3 linked regions of the Stegostoma tigrinum genome follow. The protein of the gene in region 2 interacts with the protein of the main gene of each other region in a biochemical or structural test. Links are inferred from orthologs where the notes say so. Each region holds a gene or a part of one and is shown on either strand. Other genes may lie near its edges.

Region 1 (6,778 bases), on a different chromosome or scaffold from region 2:
AACTGCAGATGCCGTAAATCAGAAACAAAAGCAAATTGCTGGAAAGATTCAGCAGATCCGGCAGCATCTGTGGACAGGAATTGGAGTTAACATTTCGGATTGAGCGTCCCTTCCTCTATTTAAGCAATTTCTTTTTATTAATTCTGTAATACGAAATGGCACCAGATTGTGGCCAGAAAACACTTTTCACTGTTTTTCCCAAATACATGTGACAACAAAATTATTCATTCATTAATTCGTTCATGCATTCATTCATTTCAGTGCTGGATCTGACCATACTTACTGCACACAAGAAACTCCTAGTAGTTCCCATCTGCTGTAGGTGCCCTGTCTGCTTTTATTTAATAAATAATTATTGCCTTAATTAGAGACCAAAAAAAAACTGCAGATGCTGGAATCCAAAGGTAGATAAATGGGAGGCTGGAAGAACACACCAAGCCAGGCAGCATCTGGAGGAAAGGAGCTGTCAATGTTTCGGGTAATTACCCTTCTTCAGGACTTAACTTCATCCACTGAACCTGAACAATGAATTGAATCCAGATAGTAATTAAATAGCAAAACATTAGTTGGCTTAATTTTTTTATACTACTTAACTGATCTACTCTTACTTTATTCTCGATTAAATAAAAATAAGAGTCACCAGAATACCCTCCTCCTGTGATTGCTTGATCTGTAATTTCACTTTGAGAAATGATAATTGCCCCTCCTGCTGGGCTCAGACACTCAGTCAGATTGCAATGCTACACAGCTCCCAGCCTCTGCCTTTATCTGATTATTTTATGATTACTTGTAGAAATAGTTGCAGAATAAATACATATCATGCTAAATTAAGAGATTAAAAACAAACTAAAATTGAAGAAGGTCTGATGGAGCTTACAATTTTTGTCAAATTTAGGAAACACTCGAATAAAACAGAAAAAAAACCTTCAAGATTAATAAGGAGCTTGACCATCCAGGACAAAGCAGCCCAATTGATTAGCACCACATCCACGAACATCCATTCCCTCTACCATCGATTCTCAGTAGCAGCAGTGTATACTGTCGAGAAGATACACTGCAGGAATTCACCAAAGATCTTGAGGTAGCAACTTCCAAACCCATGATCAGTACCATCTAGAATGACAATGGCAACAGATGCACGAGAGCACCACCATCTGCAAATTCCCCTGCTAGCCACTCGTCATCCTGACATGGAATTACATCACTGTTCCTGGGTCAAAATCCTGGAATTTCCTCTGAAAAGGCATTGTGGGTCAGGCTACAGCACATGGACTGCAGTGGTTCAAGAAGGCAGCTCCCTACCACCTTCTGAAGGGCAATAAATACTGGCCAGCCAGCAACACGCACATCCCATGAGAGAGTGGAATAAAACGAAAGTAAGGAGTGTATCTCAAAAAATATTTTTAAACATCTTGCAACCGAGTCTAAAGGGGTGGGCAAATTCTTCTCATTTCCTCTTGCTCTTGGTTTAGCAATGTTTTAAATTTTAAACAAATGTATTTTTCCCTAATTCAGTATGTGCTTGGTTATGCATTAAAGCTATGAAAAACAAGACAGAAAATCCTTTTAAGTTAGTTAAAATGAAGTGGCTTTTTTATTGTAAACTCACTGAGTACGAAGTATAAATATTACTTAAAAGGTATAACCTAACTTGGAATTCCATGTCAGAAACACACAAACTCACACCAACATACACACAAACAAACACACACATGCACACACACACACACACATGCATGCACGTTCACACACACACACACACATACATAAATGTGCGAGCAATCAGAACAAGGACAGGATGAGGGAGGTTGGAATTGAGAAATGATTACAGTTCTCAGGTGAAGGATTATATTTTCTGATGTTGATTTTAAAGTTCTGGTGGTTACAACTGAACTGGTTCTGCTGTTGTCCTGGATTTGTGTACAGCAAGTATGCACATTCAGTATTTTCATCAGATCTGATCATCTTACAGAATTGGGCACACCACGTCCAGTGAAAGGGAAGCTCTTCATCTTTTGATGTGACTGGATGTTACTGCCCTCTTTAGCAACAAGCACAAACGAATCATCATGGCCCCACACAGAAGTGATGTTTCGATGTGTAAACATTGGCTGTTAGGTCACAATAACGATTAATCAATTCTCAAAGAGGTTTGCGGTTTCCCCTTGTTGTAGGTTCAGGTGATGGGGTTTGGGGAACAGTGGTTCAATCCTCCTCTTTACATAGTAAGTTTTGGTTTAATTCGTTGTTCCAATAATATCTGCAATTTCAATGAACACAGCAGGCCAAGCAGCATCTCAGGAGCACAAAAGCTGACGTTTCGGGCCTAGACCCTTCATCAGAGAGGATCTAGGCCCGAAACATCAGCTTTTGTTATCTCGGATTCTCCAGCATCTGCAGTCCCCATTATCTCTGCAATTTCAATCATTGCCAAGGCATTTGAAGATCTCATTGCGAGCTACATATTGAAGATGCTGAATTTTGATGTTCAGGTAATTATCCTTAGATAACATTTTCGGGAATATGGTCAGCCAAGTTTCTTAAACATTCTTTTGTAAATCCCAGTGCAGCTTGGCTACCTTCAGGTCAGGTGACATTGAAAACCATTTTAAGGTATCCCAAACTTATTATTAACTGTTCACTCAAAGACAAAAGTCCATGGCTTTTAAATTCATTGATAAGATTTACAGATTAATATTTCGTACTCTTATATCATCGTGACAAACAGTAAGGTGGTGTGCGAGTGTCAGTAATAAAGAGTAAATTTTTAAAAGTGAGGTTGATTCTGAGGGGACGGGATACAGAGGTAGTGAAGGATAAGTAGAAATTAGCAGGAATAGTTAACAAGTGTTTCATTTCAGTGTTTAACAACATGGAATGCAGAGAAATCCTGAATAGGGTTAACATGAGCTGAATAACATCATAAATAAAAGGAAACTATTAAAGAAGTTTGGTTATCTAAATATTCTGAGACCTGATGAAATATATCAAAGGATTCTGAGGGAAATGAGGAACAAATAGCTTGGTTGATCATGCTCCTGGTAGGAAATGGCAGGAGATTGATTCAGTGACAATGCTGGAGTGAAGTTAAGAGTTGAATTGCAGCTAATAGTTTTCTGTAGTCACAGCGTTATTATTGTAGAGAATTAGGAGAAGGTACTGAAGATTTTTCTTGTTGATGATCACTGCCTGACACGTGAAGGAAAAATGATACATGCCTTTGATTCCTTTGCCCTTTGTAATTTTCAATGGGGTTTGTTGTAAATCTTTGCTTTTCTTTAATTTATATTAAAACTGAACTCACAATTGCACCAATGTAACACAATTGTTGGATTAATATCCAGTAAATTGTGAAATTGATTTATATGTCATGAGCAGTTTCATTTCCACTTTTTCGGTACATTTTGGTTTCCATAAAGCAATAAACAAACTGCTTCACTTCCCTGTAAAACACGAACTAACTACGTTTCCTACTATTCTTGTGGGTTTAATCTTCTCAAATGAAATGTCTACTTGTTATATTTTGCTCAGCGTTTACAATGTTAATCAGTGAATTGTAACCCTCTTGTTATTTTGATATGTCTTGGAATAAAAACAGAAGCATTTCAAGTAATTCCGAATACACCTTCAAAATGTGGAACTGTGACAGCAACTTACCTTCTCAGCCTGGCTCCATTCTCTGCGGAGGAGATGCAGGCAGCCGATGTTGAAACAGATTTTGGAGCTGGGCTCGAGTATAGTGGTGAACAGGTTGAGTGCGGTTAGCCACTCCTGGCGGTCTGCTGCAGTAATGCCTTCATCCCATAATTTGATGGTGTCTGTTAGAGACATACTGAGCCCGGCCGTTTAATGTATACAAGCTGCAGCGCGTGAAATAGCGTGGTTTGTATGCACTGGCTAAACCAGCAACTAATTTCAACGCACTGCTTCTTTTACCGTCTGCTTCCTCCGCTTGACTGAATACGCTATAGAAATACTACAGGAAATGTGACCATGAGCCCAACTTTAGCTGTGACTAGACCAGTTTCATAGGAAGTTAACTCACTGACATTGCCTTTTGATATAGTGGCTGCAAGTCCTGTGGAGATGTGAACGGTCTGACAAATCCAAACCTTACCATGAACATAAGAGAGATTATAACAGTCTAAAGGCAAATTAATTGATTTACCAATCCTCCCGCACCTTCCACAAATATTTTTATATGTTTTGTATTTTAGTTTCCTGTTGCAAACTTCTAAATCAAGTATTTTCGATGCTGGAAACGGCTGGCTAAAAAATTTAACTCTGGGCAGTTTGTGTTCCAGCAGCTGTCAGACTGACGCTTCAGACACCGCCTCTATATTTCCCTGACAACAGTAACATCGTCAACAAACAGGGAGGCCATTACAGACAGACCAAATGCGCAGCTAACAAAGTACTGAAGGGACATCATTTCCAATCACAAAGAAAAGCAAAAAAGCGCTAAGATTTGGTGAGTAGCATTGTCATAGATTCCCTTTGCACCCCCCGATGTAGATTTAAGACCATAAGACGTAGGAGTGGAATTAAGGCCATTCGGCCCATCGAGTCCACTCCGCCATTTAAATCATGGCTGATGGGCGTTTCAACTCCACTTCCCTGCACTCTCCCCGTAGCCCTTGATTCCTTGTGAGATCAAGAGTTTATCGATCTCTGCCTTGAAGGCATCCAACGTCCCGGCCTCCACTGCACTCCGTGGCAATGAATTCCACAGGCCCACCACACTCTGGCTGAAGAAATGTCTCCTCATTTCTGTTTTAAATTTACCGCCTCTAATTCTAAGGCTGTGCCCGTGGGTCCTAGTCTCCCCTCCTAATAGAAACAACGTCTTAGCGTCTACCCCTTCTAAACCATACATTATCTTGTAAGTTTCTATTAGATCTCCCCTCAACCTTCTAAACTCTAATGAATACAATCCCAGGGATCCTCAGCCGTTCATCGTATGTTAGGCCAACCATTCCACGGATCATCCATGTAAATCTCCACTGGACATGCTCCAGCTCCAGTTTGTCCTTCCTGAGGTGTGGGGGCCAAAATTGGACACAGCATTCTAAATAGGGTCCAACTAGAGCTTTATAAAGTCTCAGAAACACGTCACTGCTTTTATATTCCAGCCCTCTTGAGATAACCGACAACATTACATTCGCTTTCTTAATCACGGACCCTACCTGCAAGTTAACCTTTAGAGAATCCTGGACCAACACTCCCAGATCACTTTGTACTTCTGCTTTACAAATTTTCTCACCATTTAGACAATTGTCCATGCCTGTATTCCTTTTTCCAAAGTTTGTACACTGTAGGCTATGGTGCCGATCTCTCCTGTCTCTCACACTGTAGACTATGATGCTGATCTCTCCTCTCTGTGACACTGTAGACTATGGTGCTGATCTCTCCTGTCTCTCACACTGTAGACTATGGTGGTGATCTCTGCTCTCTGTGACACTGTAGACTAAGGTGCTGATCTCTCCTGTCTGTCCCACTGTAGACTATGGTGCTGATCTCACCTATCCGTGACACTGTAGACTATGGTCCTGATCTCTCCTATCTGTGACACTGTAGACTAGGGTGCTGATCTCACCTATCCGTGACACTGTAGACTATGGTGCTGATCTCTCCTCTCTGTGACACTGTAGACTATGGTGCTGATCTCTCCTGTCTGTCCCACTGTAGAATATGGTGCTGATCTCTCCTCTCTGTGACACTGTAGACTAAGGAGCTGATCTCTCCTGCCTGTCCCACTGTAGACTATGGTGCTGATCTCTCCTGTCTGTGACACTGTAGACTATGGTGCTGATCTCTCCTGTCTGTGACACTGTAGACTATGGTGCTGATCTCTCCTGTCTGTCCCACTGTAGACTATGGTGCTGATCTCTCCTCTCTGTGACACTGTAGACTAAGGAGCTGATCTCTCCTGTCTGTCCCACTGTAGACTATGGTGCTGATCTCTCCTCTCTGTGACACTAGACTATGGTGCTGATCTCTCCTGTCTGTCCCACTGTAGACTGAGGTGCTGACCTCTCCTCTCTGTGACACTGTAGACTATAGTGCTGGTGTCTCCTCTCTGTCCCACTGTAGACTATGGTGCTGATCTCTGTTCTGTGTGACACTGTAGACTAAGGTGCTGATCTCTCCTGTCTGTCCCACTGTAGACTATGGTGTTGATCTGTCCTGTCTCTCACACTGTAGACGATGGTGCTGATCTCTCCTGTCTGTCCCACTGTAGACTAAGGAGCTGATCTCTCCTGCCTGTCCCACTGTAGACGATGGTGCTGATCTCTCCTCTCTGTGACACTGTAGACGATGGTGCTGATCTCTCCTGTCTGTCCCACTGTAGAATATGGTGCTGATCTCTCCTCTCTGTGACACTGTAGACTAAGGAGCTGATCTCTCCTGCCTGTCCCACTGTAGACTGTGGTGCTGATCTCTCCTCTCTGTGACACTGTCGACTATAGTGCTGATCTCTCCTGTCTGTCCCACTGTAGACTATGGTGCTGATCTCTCCTGTCTGTCCCACTGTAGACTATGGTGCTGATCTCTCCTGCCTGTCCCACTGTAGACTATGGTGCTGATCTCCTCTCTCTGTGACACTGTAGACTATGGTGCTGATCTCTCCTCTCTGTGACACTGTCGACTATAGTGCTGATCTCTCCTGTCTGTCCCACTGTAGACTATGCTGCTGATCTCTCCTGTCTGTCCCACTGTAGACTATGGTGCTGATCTCTCCTGTCTGTCCCACTGTAGACTATGCTGCTGATCTCTC
Region 2 (6,778 bases):
GATCTGTACATGGCCAGTTCTTGCACAAAAAGGCAGAAACCAAAATGTAGACTTTGAAATAAGAATAAAAATCAGGTTAAGCAGCATTTGTGCAAAGAGACACATTTCAAATCCTTGTCCTTTTGCCAGTATGTCTTGTGTTTTTGAAAAAAATGGACATTTCTGTCCGAGTTTCTGTTCTGAAAATTAGAAGGTGGTTACCCACAACCCATAACTATTCCAGTTCAGATTGGCAGATGATGTGGGGACACATGAGGATCAAGGTGTGGGTCATATCCAAGCAAAAACAAGACAGAATGAGACAAAGATAATAAAATGTGAGGCTGGATGAACACAGCAGGCCAAGCAGCATCTCAGGAGCACAAAAGCTGACGTTTCGGGCCTAGACCCTTCATCAGAGGGTAAATGAGGGGGGAGGATGAAGGGTCTAGGCCCGAAACGTCAGCTTTTGTGCTCCTGAGATGCTGCTTGGCCTGCTGTGTTCATCCAGCCTCACATTTTATTATCTTGGAATCTCCAGCATCTGCAGTTCCCATTATCTCAGAATGAGACAAAGTTGGGCGAGGGCAAAAGGGAAAGAAATACCTCATTGGTTTTCTTTCATTGACTCTTTGATAAAGTTTACAAGACATGGAAGCTGAGGCACTGCTATCAAGTTGACATCGTTCAGGCCTTCAGAGAAGGAAATCAGTAGGTTTTACATGATAAGGCCTAGAGAAGATCGGCAAGGCTACGTGTAGAACAGCAGGAGATGGACAAGATACTAAATGAGTATTTCACATTAGTGTTTACTCTGGAATAGGACATGGAAGCTAGAGAACACGGGGAAATAAATAGTGAAATCTTGTAAAGTGTCCATATTACGGGGGGGGGGGGGGAGCTGCTGGATGTCTTAAAATGCATAAAGGTGGATAAAATCCCGGGGCCTGGTCAGGTGTACGCTCGAACTCAGTGGGAAGCTAGGGAAGTGACTGCTGGGCCCCGTGTGGAGAAATTTATATCATTAATGACCACAGGAGAGGTTCCAGAAGACTATAGGTTTGCTAACGTAGTGCTATTATTTAAAAAAGGTGGTAAGGAAAAGCCAAGGAACTGTAGTTCAGTAAGCTTGATATCACTATTAAACCCGACAATGCGGTGGGGGGGGGGGGGGGGGGGGGGGAGGGGGTGCATGGTGGTAGTACGGTAAATTGACCTGTACATCGCTGAGGCCAGATGCTGACTCTCTGACACCTCCTCCTCATCACCTCAATCATGACCTCACCTCTGATCACCTAGCCAGCACCTCTCAAACCATCAACAACCTCATCACTATGGGAGATCTCCAGTCCACAGCCTCCAACCTTCACCAACACCTTTCAACTTGCTCTTAAATTCATCTGGACCATTTCTGACACCTCTTTCCCCTTCCTGGACCACTCCATCTCCATCTCCGAAAACCAACTCACCAGTGACATCCATTTCAAACCTACTGACTCCCATAGCTAACTCAACTACATCTCCCCACATCCACCCTCCCGCAAAAATGCTATCCCATACTCTCAATTTCTCCTCCTCCACCATATCTGCTCCCAGGATGAGATATTTTTCTCCAGAACCTCCCAGATATCCTCCTACTTCAGGGGCGGGCAGTGTGGCTAAACGAAGAGAACTTGGGAGGCATATTCATAGTTCCTTGAAAGTGGAGTTGAAGGTAGACAGGACAGTGAAGAAGGTGCTTGGTGTGTTTGCCATTATTGATCAATGTATTGAATATAGGAGTTGAGAGGTCATGCTGTGGCTGTATAAGACATTGATAGGCCACTTTTGGAATACTGCATTCAATTCTGGCCATCCTGCTATAGGAAAGAGGTTATGAAACTTGAAAGGGTTCAGAAAAGATTTATGAGGATATTGCAAGGGTTGGAGAGTTTGAGCTACAAGGACAGACTGAATAGGATGGGGCTACTTTTCTTGGAGTGTCAGAGGCTGAGTTGTGATTTTAAAGAAGTTTATTAAATCATGAGGGGCATAGATAGGGTGAACAGCCAAGGCCTTTCTCCAAGGCAGGGGAATCCAAAATTAGAAGGCATAGGTTTAAAGTGAGAGGGGAATGATGTAAAAGGAGCAACATTTTCACAGAGTGTTGTGCATGGATCAAATGAGCTGCCAGAGGAAGTGGGGGAGGCTGGTACAATCACAACATTTAAAAGGCATCTAGATGGGTATATGAATACGAATGGTTTCGAGGGATATAGGCCAAATACTGTCAAATGGGACTGGATTAATTTGAAATATCTGGTTGGCATGGATGAGTTGGACCGAAGGGTTTTTTCCATGCTGTGAATCTCTATGTGTCTACATGACTGCAGTCCCAGGGAAAAAGCAATGGTTGACTATTAACTGCACTCTGAAGTGCAAATTGCAGCTGCTCCAAATCGCAGCCTGTAGTGGTTCAAAGAGGCTACCATTCTCCTTTTCAGGGCAACATGGAATGGGCAATTAGTGCTGTCTTTACCAGTGATACTTATGTCCTGAAGGTATATTAATGGAGAAAGAGTCCACCATGTTTTGAAGCAAAAGCAGTTATCACTTTGAGCAGATATGGACTATGCCTATGGGAATAGGTGCTTCACTTTCTCTAACTAACAGAATCAAGGCCTGGTTGGTCTTGGTCAGTGGCTGTAACGCTTAATCCCAACAAGAGGCAACATTTTCAGGACAGGGTGGGGGCACCTAATCTACTCCTCTGATCCCTAATGCAATCTTCAGATCCATTTTTCTGATCTCATATCCACACTCCTGATCCCCGAGCCATTCCTCTGATCCCTGGGCCTGTCCTTTGATCTCTGATGCAATCTTCAGATCCATTTTCCTGATCCCAGATCCACTGTTCTGATCCCTGAACCAGTCCTCTGATCTCTGATGCAATCTTCAGATCCATTTTCCTGATCCCAGATCTCTCCTGATCCCTGAGCCAGTCCTCTGATCTCTGATGCAATCTTCAGATCCATTTTCCTGATCCCAGATCCACTCTCCTGATCCCTGAGACAGTCCTCTGATCTTTGATGCAATCTTCAGATCCCCTCTCCTGACCCCTAATTCACTCTCTTTACCCCTTGGAGAGAGCAGAGCCTGCGCAGACTGAGTGTGGTGACGTAAGACGTCTGGCTCAGCGGTGACGCCACCGCGACGTGCCCCTGCTGCAGTTTAAAGCAGATCCGGAGACCCCGTGCATTTGCCAACGCCCGGTGGAGACGGTCGGCTTTCGGGGGAAGGGGGTGAGTGAGGAATGGAGGGGCGGAGGGAGTGATAGACAGAGTGATGGAGGCTGTGAAAAGTGAAGGTGGGGAGGCGAATGGGAGGTGGCCGTGTGTTCTCTCAGTCCCTAGCCCGTGCCGCTATGTCAGGCCGTGAGCGGCTCGGCTCGGCTCGGCCCGGCCCTGCCGGGGCCTTGCTTCCTGCGCCGGGCTCTGGGGTTAGCTACCGTGGTGGGGCGGGGCGGTGCGTGCGGGAGCCGGGTCGGTGGAGTGGAGGGGCGTGGGGATGAAAAGCCTGGCCTGTTCGAAATGCGATCGATCCGGTACCCGGGTCTTTAGCCCCCCCGGTTTCCCCCAAGTGTGGGACCCGGTGTCGGGGCAGCGCCCTCCCGGCTCGAGCTGTTTCCCCTCTCCCGGGCGAGGCTTTTGGAACCTTGGGGTGGGGCTGTGTGACCCCGGCCAGGAGTTACCTGTCAGCTCGGTGCGGGGATGGTGGGGCGGCGAGGAGGGCCAAGCGATGTTTGCTGCTGCTGCATTTACTCAGGTCTCGCCGAATGCCGCAGTTTGGAGGCGGTTTCCTTCTGGAAATTCCAGCTACGATTTGACCTTAAACAGCATCCCTGCCTTTTTCGGGAGGGTGGGGGGAGAGAGTGATTTACTGAAAATTAAAACTATCGATCAGAAATGGGTTTCCTGCTTTTGGTATTGCTCAGAAATACAAAGCATTTAAAGAGGAAGTCAAGAGGGTGTGATATCTCAATATTGCCCGCTTCCTTTTGAATAAGGTTTATTTTGCAGGTTGGGGAGAAATCAAAATGAGACAAGCCTGAAGAATTAATCAGTGCACTTTTGTCATTTGGATGTCACTTAATGTTCAAATATTTACAGGTTTTTTCCATGTTTTCAGTTGTTGTGATGCTCTTGCAATGAGTTTTTGGTCCAGGTAGTACATTATACAGAAAATGTTCTGTCAACTGTTTAGGGATTTTGCTGCAGTGAAGCTGCACTGCTACTGGAAACAATAGGGCTGTCTGAAAAGCTAGACTCTATTTTCCATGGAATCATAGATCCTGTGCACTACTTACAGCCTGCAGTAGGGCCTTTCTGCTCAAAATGGTTGCTGCCCCTCTGTCACAGATCTTAAAAAGAAGTGATAATGGGAACTGCAGATGCTGGAGAGTCCACGATAACTGTGGACCTGGATGAATGCAGCAGGCCAAGCAGCATCTCAGGAGCACAAAAGCTGATGTTTTGGGCCTAAACCCCTCTGATGAAGGGTCTAAGTCCAAAACATCAGCTTTTGTGCTCCTGAGATGCTGCTTGGCCTGCTGTGTTCATCCAGGTCCACACTTTGTTATCTTAAAAAGAAGTGATATTCCTTCAGTTGCTGATATCCCCCAGTGTTATAGTTGTAATATGGGGATTGTAGGTTTCCTTCTCCAGTGACTTGTTTCTGAATCACCAGTCATAGATTGTGAAACTGATAAGCTGAGGACAGTTGTACTTTATCATTGCTTTACTATGCCACCAAATCACTCAGCAGTATTAGTAAGACATTGAATTGTTCTTGTCTTTGCTGCATTCTTCTGAGGAAGAGTTTCCTGGGCTGAGAATTCTATTTATAGATCTGATCCAGTTTGAAATCATTTTGATATGTGCATTTGGGATGGCATATGTTATTTTGTTTGGTACAGACTGTTTTCAGTAACAGGAAGTCTGCAACAGTGCTTCAGCTAATCTGTTTTAATTGTTACTGAATCCACAGTCTCTGAAAATGGGTTAGGTTTAGTTTTTTTTTGGTGTCTTAGTTGAATTAATGTTCACTAGCATTGTTGTAACCAGAGTTCAAACTGGAAGCCAGAGCTAATCCTGAAATGGAAACAGAATGCTGCAAATAATTGAGCAGTAACAAAATGAAGAGAAACAGTTTTTGAGTATCTGACTTTCATATGAACAAATCGTTAATCTGAATCATTAACACTCCCTGTCCACGGTTGCTGTCTGACTTGTGTATTTCAGTTTTTAATCCATCCAGCATCTGTATGCTTGTACAGTATTTGAATTTCCTGAGTGTCTGCCCTTAGCTGGGAAGGGGGAGTTAGACCTTGCAAGGCTAAGCCAGCAAGAATATAGGCATATAAGAATCTGCTAATTCTGTATCAACTTTTTAAAATGTTAGGTCAACATTGGTCAATGGTCATCTGACTATTTGCTTTTCAATGTGGAAACTCTTTTATAAATCAGCCTAAGATCTGTGAGAGTAATTGAGAACTGTCTGTTGATTTAATATTAAAGAAGGTTCTCTTCCCCAAGGGAGAATTATGGAATTTTGAATGTGCTGCACCATTGAGTTCATTGTTTTGCATTGCTTCAGTTAAGCTGTCTGATAGGACAGTTCCCCTGTTGTTTGTTTTATTTTGCTGTAATCTTGCAAATTTAAGTCCTTCAAATATTTCAGTTCACTTGTAAATTTCAAAAATACTAAGTTGTATTTGTAAGTACATCTTGGGTAAGACTTCAACCTGTATCTGCTTGTTCAAATATTTCAAGAGTTGTCTTGCATCAAATTTACATCATGATCAAGTTTTCTTCCATAATTTAAAGGAACAAATTCACTATTTTATCATGGAGATACTTGCATAATCGGTAAAGTTGGTACAGTGGTGCCATGTCTTGATCTGCTTTAGTGACTATGAAAGCAAAAACGAAATGTCTTGCCAGTGTCTTAAGCCCAGTTTCCTGTGAGGAGGTTTTACTCTAGCTGTGGTTCAGATCTTTGCTATATCTGATTCTTGTTTCACTGTACCTTTAAAACTGTCATTGTTTTCAGGTAATAGTGCATTTTTACCTACTTTCAAGTTTTTGTTGCAATCCAATGCATTTATTTCCATTGGTTGGACTGTCTTTTTGCTTTATTAGAAATTAGTAGTGCAGCATTGCAGACAAATAATTTGGTTATGTTCAAGTTTCAAATTCTATCCTGGGAACTGTTCCCTGCAAACAAGGCAGCATTGAGACAAATGTTTGAAAATTACCACAGTAGGTTGCTGCAGGGAAGTCTCATAGTTTCTGTACTACTACGTGGCTGGGATTCTCTTTTTTTAAAAAAAAATCTGAGTAACTGCTACAGACTTGTTCAGGGCTGGTGGAATTTGCTGGTTTCAACTTGAATATAGCCTCCAGTTCTAAAATTGAGTTCTTCTATCTATTTCCTGTTGGAGCAATGAGTAGAAAGGCATGCAGTCTTGATTCTCTGCATCACTGATTTTATGAAGAAAAGCAACTGTCTCCAGTTGCCTTCTCTGTTCCCATTGCAGTGTGGAAGCTGAATAAGAACTCACTTGTAGTTTAGACCTCAAATTGTAAACTTGTACTGTTAATGTAACTCTTTAGTTACAGGATGCTTCAGATTTTCTCCGCTTATCTTTGTTGAAACTTTGTTGACCTAGATTCAGTTTCTAATAGTCCTGGGCGGATATCCTGTTGCTAGTCGGGAAGTGCACCTGTTTTCAGCAGTTAGCTTCTTGTGCCTCTATGAT
Region 3 (6,778 bases), on a different chromosome or scaffold from region 2:
AATGATTAAAGCTGTTCATCCTGTCACCAATTCTTAGAATTCACTTCCCAGCAATATCAACTTTTTTTTTCTAAAAAATGTCACTCTTAACATCATAAAACATTCCGAGATGGTTCACTTGAGCATAAAACAATATTATTGATATCATAAGGAAATAGGTCAGGCGACTAAATTATGGTCAAAGAATTCTGCTTTTGGTAGTGTCTGAAAGACAAAGTCTGAAGTGGGAAGAGGTTTAGGAAGCCCTAGAGGTCAGGATCCAGGCATCTGATGACGCAGCCACCTATGTAAAGAGGTTAAAAACAGTGATCGTCACAATATCAGAATCGGAAAGGTTCAGAAATCTTGAGCATTCACGGACCGGGAGGAGATTGCAGAGGTAGGGACATGTGAGGAGTCCCTAGAGGGATTTGAAAACAAGGAAGAAATGTTAAAAACAGGATGTAATTTGAATGGAGGTGAGTCAATTTAGGTCAGTGAACGCAAATAAAAATAAAAATGCTGGAGAAACAAGACAGGTCTCACAGAATCTCTGGATGGATGTTGCAGAGAAACAGACAGGGAAAAACCAGAGTTAAGAAAGAAGTGAAGCAAAGTATTACTCAAACTAAAATGTTTAGCTGTTTCTCTCTCCACAGATACTGCCAGACCTGCTGAGTTTCTTTCTGAATTTATTTCAGATTTCCCGCAGCCGTAGTATTTTGCTTCTATTTTAGTGAACTTAAGATTGACAGGGGAATGTGACTTTCTGCAAGTTAACACATGAAAGCAGGTTTTTCAGGGCTCAGAATAGGAGAGACATGGCTTTGAGGTAGTTTCCTTAGCTCCAGACTAGAAGACCCAGGTTCAAGGCACACCTGCTCCTGAGTTATTCAATAACATTGCTGACCAGGTTGATTGGAAAATATCCAAAATGTGGAAGACCAGCTAGCAGTGTGTGGAATAAAAGTGTCTAGAAGTAACAAAGAAGGGATTTTACAGCATGTTGTGAAAAGGATGCTTCCTCATGGGAGAATCTAAATGTAATGGGTCATAGAAATTCTACAGTGTGGAAACACTGTTTAAAGATACAGGGTCACCATTTCATAGCAGGATCATAAACTCCCTTCTGTGTGGAAGCAGACCACTCGGCCTATTGAGTCCACACTGGCTCTCTGAAGAGCATCCCACCCACACCCAGACCCCAGCCCCCTACCGTATCCCCGTGAGCCCACATACCCTTGTACACTATGGGCAATTTAGTAAGGCCAAACACCTAGTCTACACTGTGGGAGGAAACCCATGCAGACAGTAGGAGAATGTCTGTGTGGAGTTTGCACAATCGCCCAAGATTGAAATCGAGCCCGGGTTCCTGGCGCTGTGAACCAGCAGTGCCACCGTGCCACCCATTTAAGTCAGAGCCAAAGAGAAATATTTCTGAGTCACAGGTTTTTTGGAACTCTCTTCATTTAAAAACTGTAGAAGCAGATCATTTGAAACTTTTAAAGACAGACATGGATAAGGTTCTTGCTAAGGACAGGGGTGAGATATTATTGGGGGTAGGAAGGTGGCGTAGTCATTGTTGACTGGCAGAGCAGACATGCAGTGCTGAGTGGTATAATCTTGCTCCTAACCTGTAGGTTTGCATGTAAAGTCATTAAGGGCCTCAGCAGAGGAGGTGAGACAGTGACCACATTGAGCAATATCACAAAGATTAAAATCAGTGGTCCATGCAATGTCTGTACAGTGGAAGCAGACAAAATGGCAACTTTCAAAGTTGAATTGGATAAACACTTCAAGGATAAAATGTGCAAGGCTTCAGGAATTGAACAGGGAAGTGAGACTAGTCAGATAGCCTTTTAAAGAAGTGACTAGCTCCCTTTTGTAGTGTATGACAACAGTGCCAAACTCATCCAGGCCGTGCTCAAATCAAAAGCAGCAAATTATTTAAAAGGGACAAAGTGGAGAGGGAGAAATTATCTGAAGGGTCTTGACCTGAAATGTCAACTTTCCTGCTCCTCTGATGCTGCCTGACCTGCTTCATTCCTCCAGCTCCACACGGTGTTGTCTCCGACTCCAGCATCTGCAGTTCTTGCTATCTCCTAGATTTACACAGGATATCTGGTTGGCATGGACAAGTTGGACCGAAAGGTCAGTTTCCCTACTGTGTATCTCCATGACTCTAAGTGAACCTTGCTGAAATGAATGCGATTTGGCAGGAGGGCATATAAAGAAGCAGCTCCATTATCTGTCACACTAGGAAGGAATCACCAGCCCACCGTCCCCCACTGCATCAATAATGCAAAGTGGCAGACAATTAAGTAACTGCAAAATCTGGACTTGCATATTTGCCATAACAATGCCTCCATCTGAAGCATTCAAGAGCGTAAAACAAGTAACAAAAGGGACATTATTTTGTAGTTTCATTCATCAGGAAAAGAAGAATGGGTAAAAGACAGGAAAAGAGTCTGAACAATGAGACATTTCACGTAGGGCTTTATCCTGAAAATGCTCTTAATACAGTGCACTGTGAAGATGCTCTCCACTAATGACATTCAAAGTCAAAGAGGTCGGAGACACAAATGGATGAGGTATCATAGTATACAGCACAGAAACGTGTCTGGAACCAGAGTATCATTGATAAATAACAGTCACATCAGGAGGAGTTTTACTTTCCAACTACAAAAAGGTCTCAGCAAATCAAAAAACCACAATCAGCACTCTGGAACAGACCTTAATATGGAAGCTAGCAATATAGTTGAACACAAGTATTTAGTCCAAAAATATTACACCAAGAAACTAATTGTAACATCAGCAGAAAAATATAGAAGGATGTGAAAGTCACCACCGAAGAGTGCAGCAGAAGCAGATTGAAATTGTGTATTTCAAAAGGTAATGGGTTAGTATCTGAAGAGGAATAATTTGCAAGGCTATTTTGGGAAAGGGACGCGAGTGAGAACAGGTCGAATAGCCTGCTTCTATGCTGTATCTATTCCAACATGCCACAAACGTAAACAGTATCACTTCAACGGGATTTGGGACAGACAACAAAGCTGTTAGATGAAAAGTATGCAATCAAGGAGATAATGCAAGATCTTTTATCAACCACAGGTTAGGTTGGACAGGGCTAGGGTACTCTCGTCCTAGAGAATGGGCTAGAAATGATACCAAATGAGTGAGTGAATCTTCTTCTACGAAGTAACTGGAGGATCTGTGATTGCACGGCTATGCAGAGGAGGCTGGCTGAGATATGAAAGAGGGAATCAAAATTATGAAAAAGTTTTTAAACTGAGTCAATAAGGAGAAAGTGCTTCCAGTGGTAAGAATGATCACTGAACACGAGACACATTTGACAACGGAAAATTGGGCAAAAAGAAAACGATGAAAGCATTTATTACCTAAAATTAGAACGAAAACAGAAAAATAAATTCCCGAATGACTTAGCTAAAAGGGCCGCGTGGAAACAGCAGGGAAATCAGGACAAATTGGACAACTCCGCCCAAGGGCTAGTACGGGAGAACTGGGCGGAATGGCAAGGGTTTTCAGAAGCACACGACATTCTACTCGCGGCCCGCGCGCCGTTTCCATAGTGATGGTCGCTAAGAAACGGGTAAGGGGGAAAAGCAGTGGAGGAGGCCGCGCGCGGTTGCCCCGGTGACGGTTGCCAGGAGCCCGCCGTTACCCTGGCGACGGCTCCCTGGGAGCGCGCGGTTGTCCCGGAGACGGTCGCCAGCAGGCGCGAGGCGGGGCCGGTTCGCCAACGTCCCTTGGTTGGACGGTTCGAATCTGCCGTTCGAAGTCAGTTAGGGTGAAGGAGGAGGAGGGGAGCCGAAAAACACGTTCCTCACCTCCCGCCGCCCGCTGACGAGAAGCTGGGTAAGTGGCCTCGTTCGCTTCCAAATGTAGTCTCTCGCGATGTCGCTGTGATCCCGGCGGCGCTGCTGGTTTGTTCTTACGCTCTGTTTCTATCCTTCACTCCCCGCTGCCCGGTGCTGGATGCCGCTCCTCTCGTTGTCAGGCCGGCCGGCTCAACCTAACCTGCCTAGGTCCGCCCCACGTGTTCCTACTTCCTATTGGTCCCCACGCCCATAACACCGGCTTCAGTTGGCTGTAACCCACGTCAATCAAAGACCATCCCCGCCCCCTCGTCACGCAGGTTTGATTGACGAGTGGACCGGAAGTGGCTTCGCTTCATGATCAGCGCATTACATCATTGCAGTTTCTTAAAGGGCCAGGGCAGTGGGTGTGTTTTGAAACTATTCCTCTCTGCAAGAATTTAGGCTAATAGCAGAATGGTGCAGGTGCTGACATTCGCAACCATCTGTAGGAAAATTCACCAAAGATCCTGCAACAGCACTTTCAAAACCCACAAACATACCAAAGAACTGCAGATATTGGAAAGCAGAAACAAAGACAAAAACTCAACAAATCTGGCAACAACTGTGGAGAGAAGCAGAGTTTTCAGGTCCCCTGACTCTTCTTCAGAACATTTCAGTTCCCCTGACTCTTCTTCAGAACATTTCAGTTTTGTTCCTGAAATAATTGCACAGAGGCCAGTGTCCTATCACCAAGTCGTCCCGAATTTACCTGTATCAGAGATAACTGCAGATGCTGGAGAATCCGAGATATCGGGGGGCTGATTCTGAGCTGGCTGGCCACAGCCGACCGTGCACAGGTAAATTCGGGATAACAAAGTGTGGAGCTGGATGAACACAGCAGGCCAAGCAGCATCTTAGGAACACATGTTCATCCAGCTCCACACTTTGTTATCCCAAATTTACCTGTGCACGGTCGGCTGTGGCCAGCCAGCTCAGAATCAGCCCCCCTGACCTGAGGAGATTCTGAATCCCCCGTTAAAATTGGTCAGCTAGTGGCTCCTGATTGGCCCAGTTTAAGAACCACAGTCAAGGTACTCATAGTCAACAAGGTCCATCTGGTCCAATCACTAGAGTTCCCTCAAAACTCACAACCAGTTCCATTGTGAAGGACGAGAGCAGCAGATACATGGTCACACCACCACCTACCAGGTCCCCTCTAAGCCACTTGCCATCCTGATTCAGAAACATATTGCTGTTTCTTCAGTATCACTGAGTCAAAATTCTGGGATTCTCTCCCTAACAGTATTATGGGTCAACCTACGAAAATGAAGTGCAGTGGTTCAAGCAGACAGCTCATCACCACCCTGTGATGGGAAACTGGGGATGCACAATAAATGCTGGCCCAGCACAAGTAAATAAAAAAGAAAATCTGATGTGAACAGTTTGTAATGGAATTATTCGCTAGGTCTAGGAACAGAGTTGACATTTGATCAATAACCCTGCATTATCATGGTGGAAGATTTGCAGGACAGCAGTCTTGCCATGTAGACAAAATCAGAAGTCACATGACACCAGGCTATAGTCCAACAGGTTTATTTGAAATCACAAGTTTTTGGATGGCTGCTCCTTCATCTGACTGAGATTCATAGAATCCCTACAGTGTGGAAACAGGCCATTCAGCCCAACAAGTCCACACTGACTCTCCAAAGAGCATCCCACCCAGACTCACCCTCATAACCTATTCCTGTATTTCCTATGGCTAATCCATTTAAATTACACATCTCTGAACACTATGGGCAATTTAGTAAGGCCAATCCACGTAACCTGCACATCTTGGGGAGGGAACCAGTGCACCTGGAGGAAATTGACACAGACACAGGGAGAATGTACAAACTCCACACAGACAGTCGCCCAAGGCTGGAATTGAACCCAGGTCCATGGTGCTGTGAGGCAGCAGTGCTAACCACTTAGCCATCGTATCGCCCACCCCAATCCAACACCAGCACATCCACATCATTGCCAAGTAGACAAAGCAATGGTTGGCAGGACTACACCATCGCCATAGTGACAGCTGCCACTAGTTGTGGGTCCAGGCAACTTTGCCAGTAGTTAATAAAGTGTGAAGCGGGATGAACACAGCAGGCCAAGCAGCATCTCAGCACAAAAGCTGACGTTTCGGGCCTAGACCCTTCATCAGAGAGGGGGATGGGGTGAGGGTTCTGGAATAAATAGGGAGAGAGGGGGAGGCGGACCGAAGATGGAGAGAAAAGAAGATAGGTGGAGAGGAGAGTGTAGGTGGGGAGGTAGGGAGGGGATAGGTCAGTCCAGGGAAGACAGACAGGTCAAGGAGGTGGGATGAGGTTAGTAGGTAGGAAATGGAGGTGCGGCTTGAGGTGGGAGGAAGGGATGGGTGAGAGGAAGAACAGGTTAGGGAGGCAGAGACAGGCTGGGCTGGTTTTGTGATGCAGTGGGGGGAGGGGATGAGCTGGGCTGGTTTTGGGATGCGGTGGGTGAAGTCCACATTGATACCATTGGGCTGCAGGGTTCCCAAGCGGAATATGAGTTGCTACCCCCTTTGTCTGTAGGAAGTGGGAGGAATCGAATGAGAAGTTGTTGAGGGTGAGGACGAGTTTGGCTAGGCGGATGAGGGTGTCAGTGGAGGGGGGCTGGTCGGGCCTGCGGGACAGGAAGAAGTGGAGGGCCTTGAGGCTATCTGCATGCGGAATACAGGTGTATAGGGACTGGACGTCCATGGTGAAAATGAGGTGTTGGGGGCCAGGGAATTGGAAGTTCTGGAGGAGGTGGAGGGCGTGGGTGGTGTCACGGACGTAGGTAGGGAGTTTCTGGGCCAAAGGGGAGAAAATGGAGTCCAGATAGGTGGAGAATAGTTCGGTGGGGCAGGAACAGGCTGAGACAAAGAGTCGACCAGGGCAGGCAGGTTTGTGGATTTTGGGAAGGAGATAGAAACGGGCCGTGCGGGG

The links. The genes of interacting proteins can lie anywhere in the genome.
Region 1: the proteins of cdc42 (region 2) and ncf2 form a complex in vitro, tested with the Homo sapiens proteins (2 studies listed by BioGRID and IntAct). The link is inferred for Stegostoma tigrinum from reciprocal best matches to the Homo sapiens genes CDC42 and NCF2.
Region 3: the proteins of cdc42 (region 2) and pak1 form a complex in vitro, tested with the Homo sapiens proteins (11 studies listed by BioGRID and IntAct, with this or other methods). The link is inferred for Stegostoma tigrinum from reciprocal best matches to the Homo sapiens genes CDC42 and PAK1.

What each region holds. Positions count from the first base shown.
Region 1 is NC_081361.1:45,930,285-45,937,062, forward strand, and holds the start of ncf2 (neutrophil cytosol factor 2), read right to left. Parts: upstream 4,214-6,778; 5' UTR 3,832-4,213; coding exon 3,658-3,831; intron 1-3,657. UniProt on the Homo sapiens protein: Subunit of the phagocyte NADPH oxidase complex that mediates the transfer of electrons from cytosolic NADPH to O2 to produce the superoxide anion (O2(-)).
Region 2 is NC_081381.1:37,037,755-37,044,532, reverse strand, and holds the start of cdc42 (cell division control protein 42 homolog), read left to right. Parts: upstream 1-3,144; 5' UTR 3,145-3,260; intron 3,261-6,778. UniProt on the Homo sapiens protein: Plasma membrane-associated small GTPase which cycles between an active GTP-bound and an inactive GDP-bound state. In active state binds to a variety of effector proteins to regulate cellular responses. Involved in epithelial cell polarization processes.
Region 3 is NC_081359.1:105,736,727-105,743,504, reverse strand, and holds the start of pak1 (serine/threonine-protein kinase PAK 1), read right to left. Parts: upstream 4,036-6,778; 5' UTR 3,828-4,035; exon of another isoform or gene 3,701-3,827; intron 1-3,700. UniProt on the Homo sapiens protein: Protein kinase involved in intracellular signaling pathways downstream of integrins and receptor-type kinases that plays an important role in cytoskeleton dynamics, in cell adhesion, migration, proliferation, apoptosis, mitosis, and in vesicle-mediated transport processes.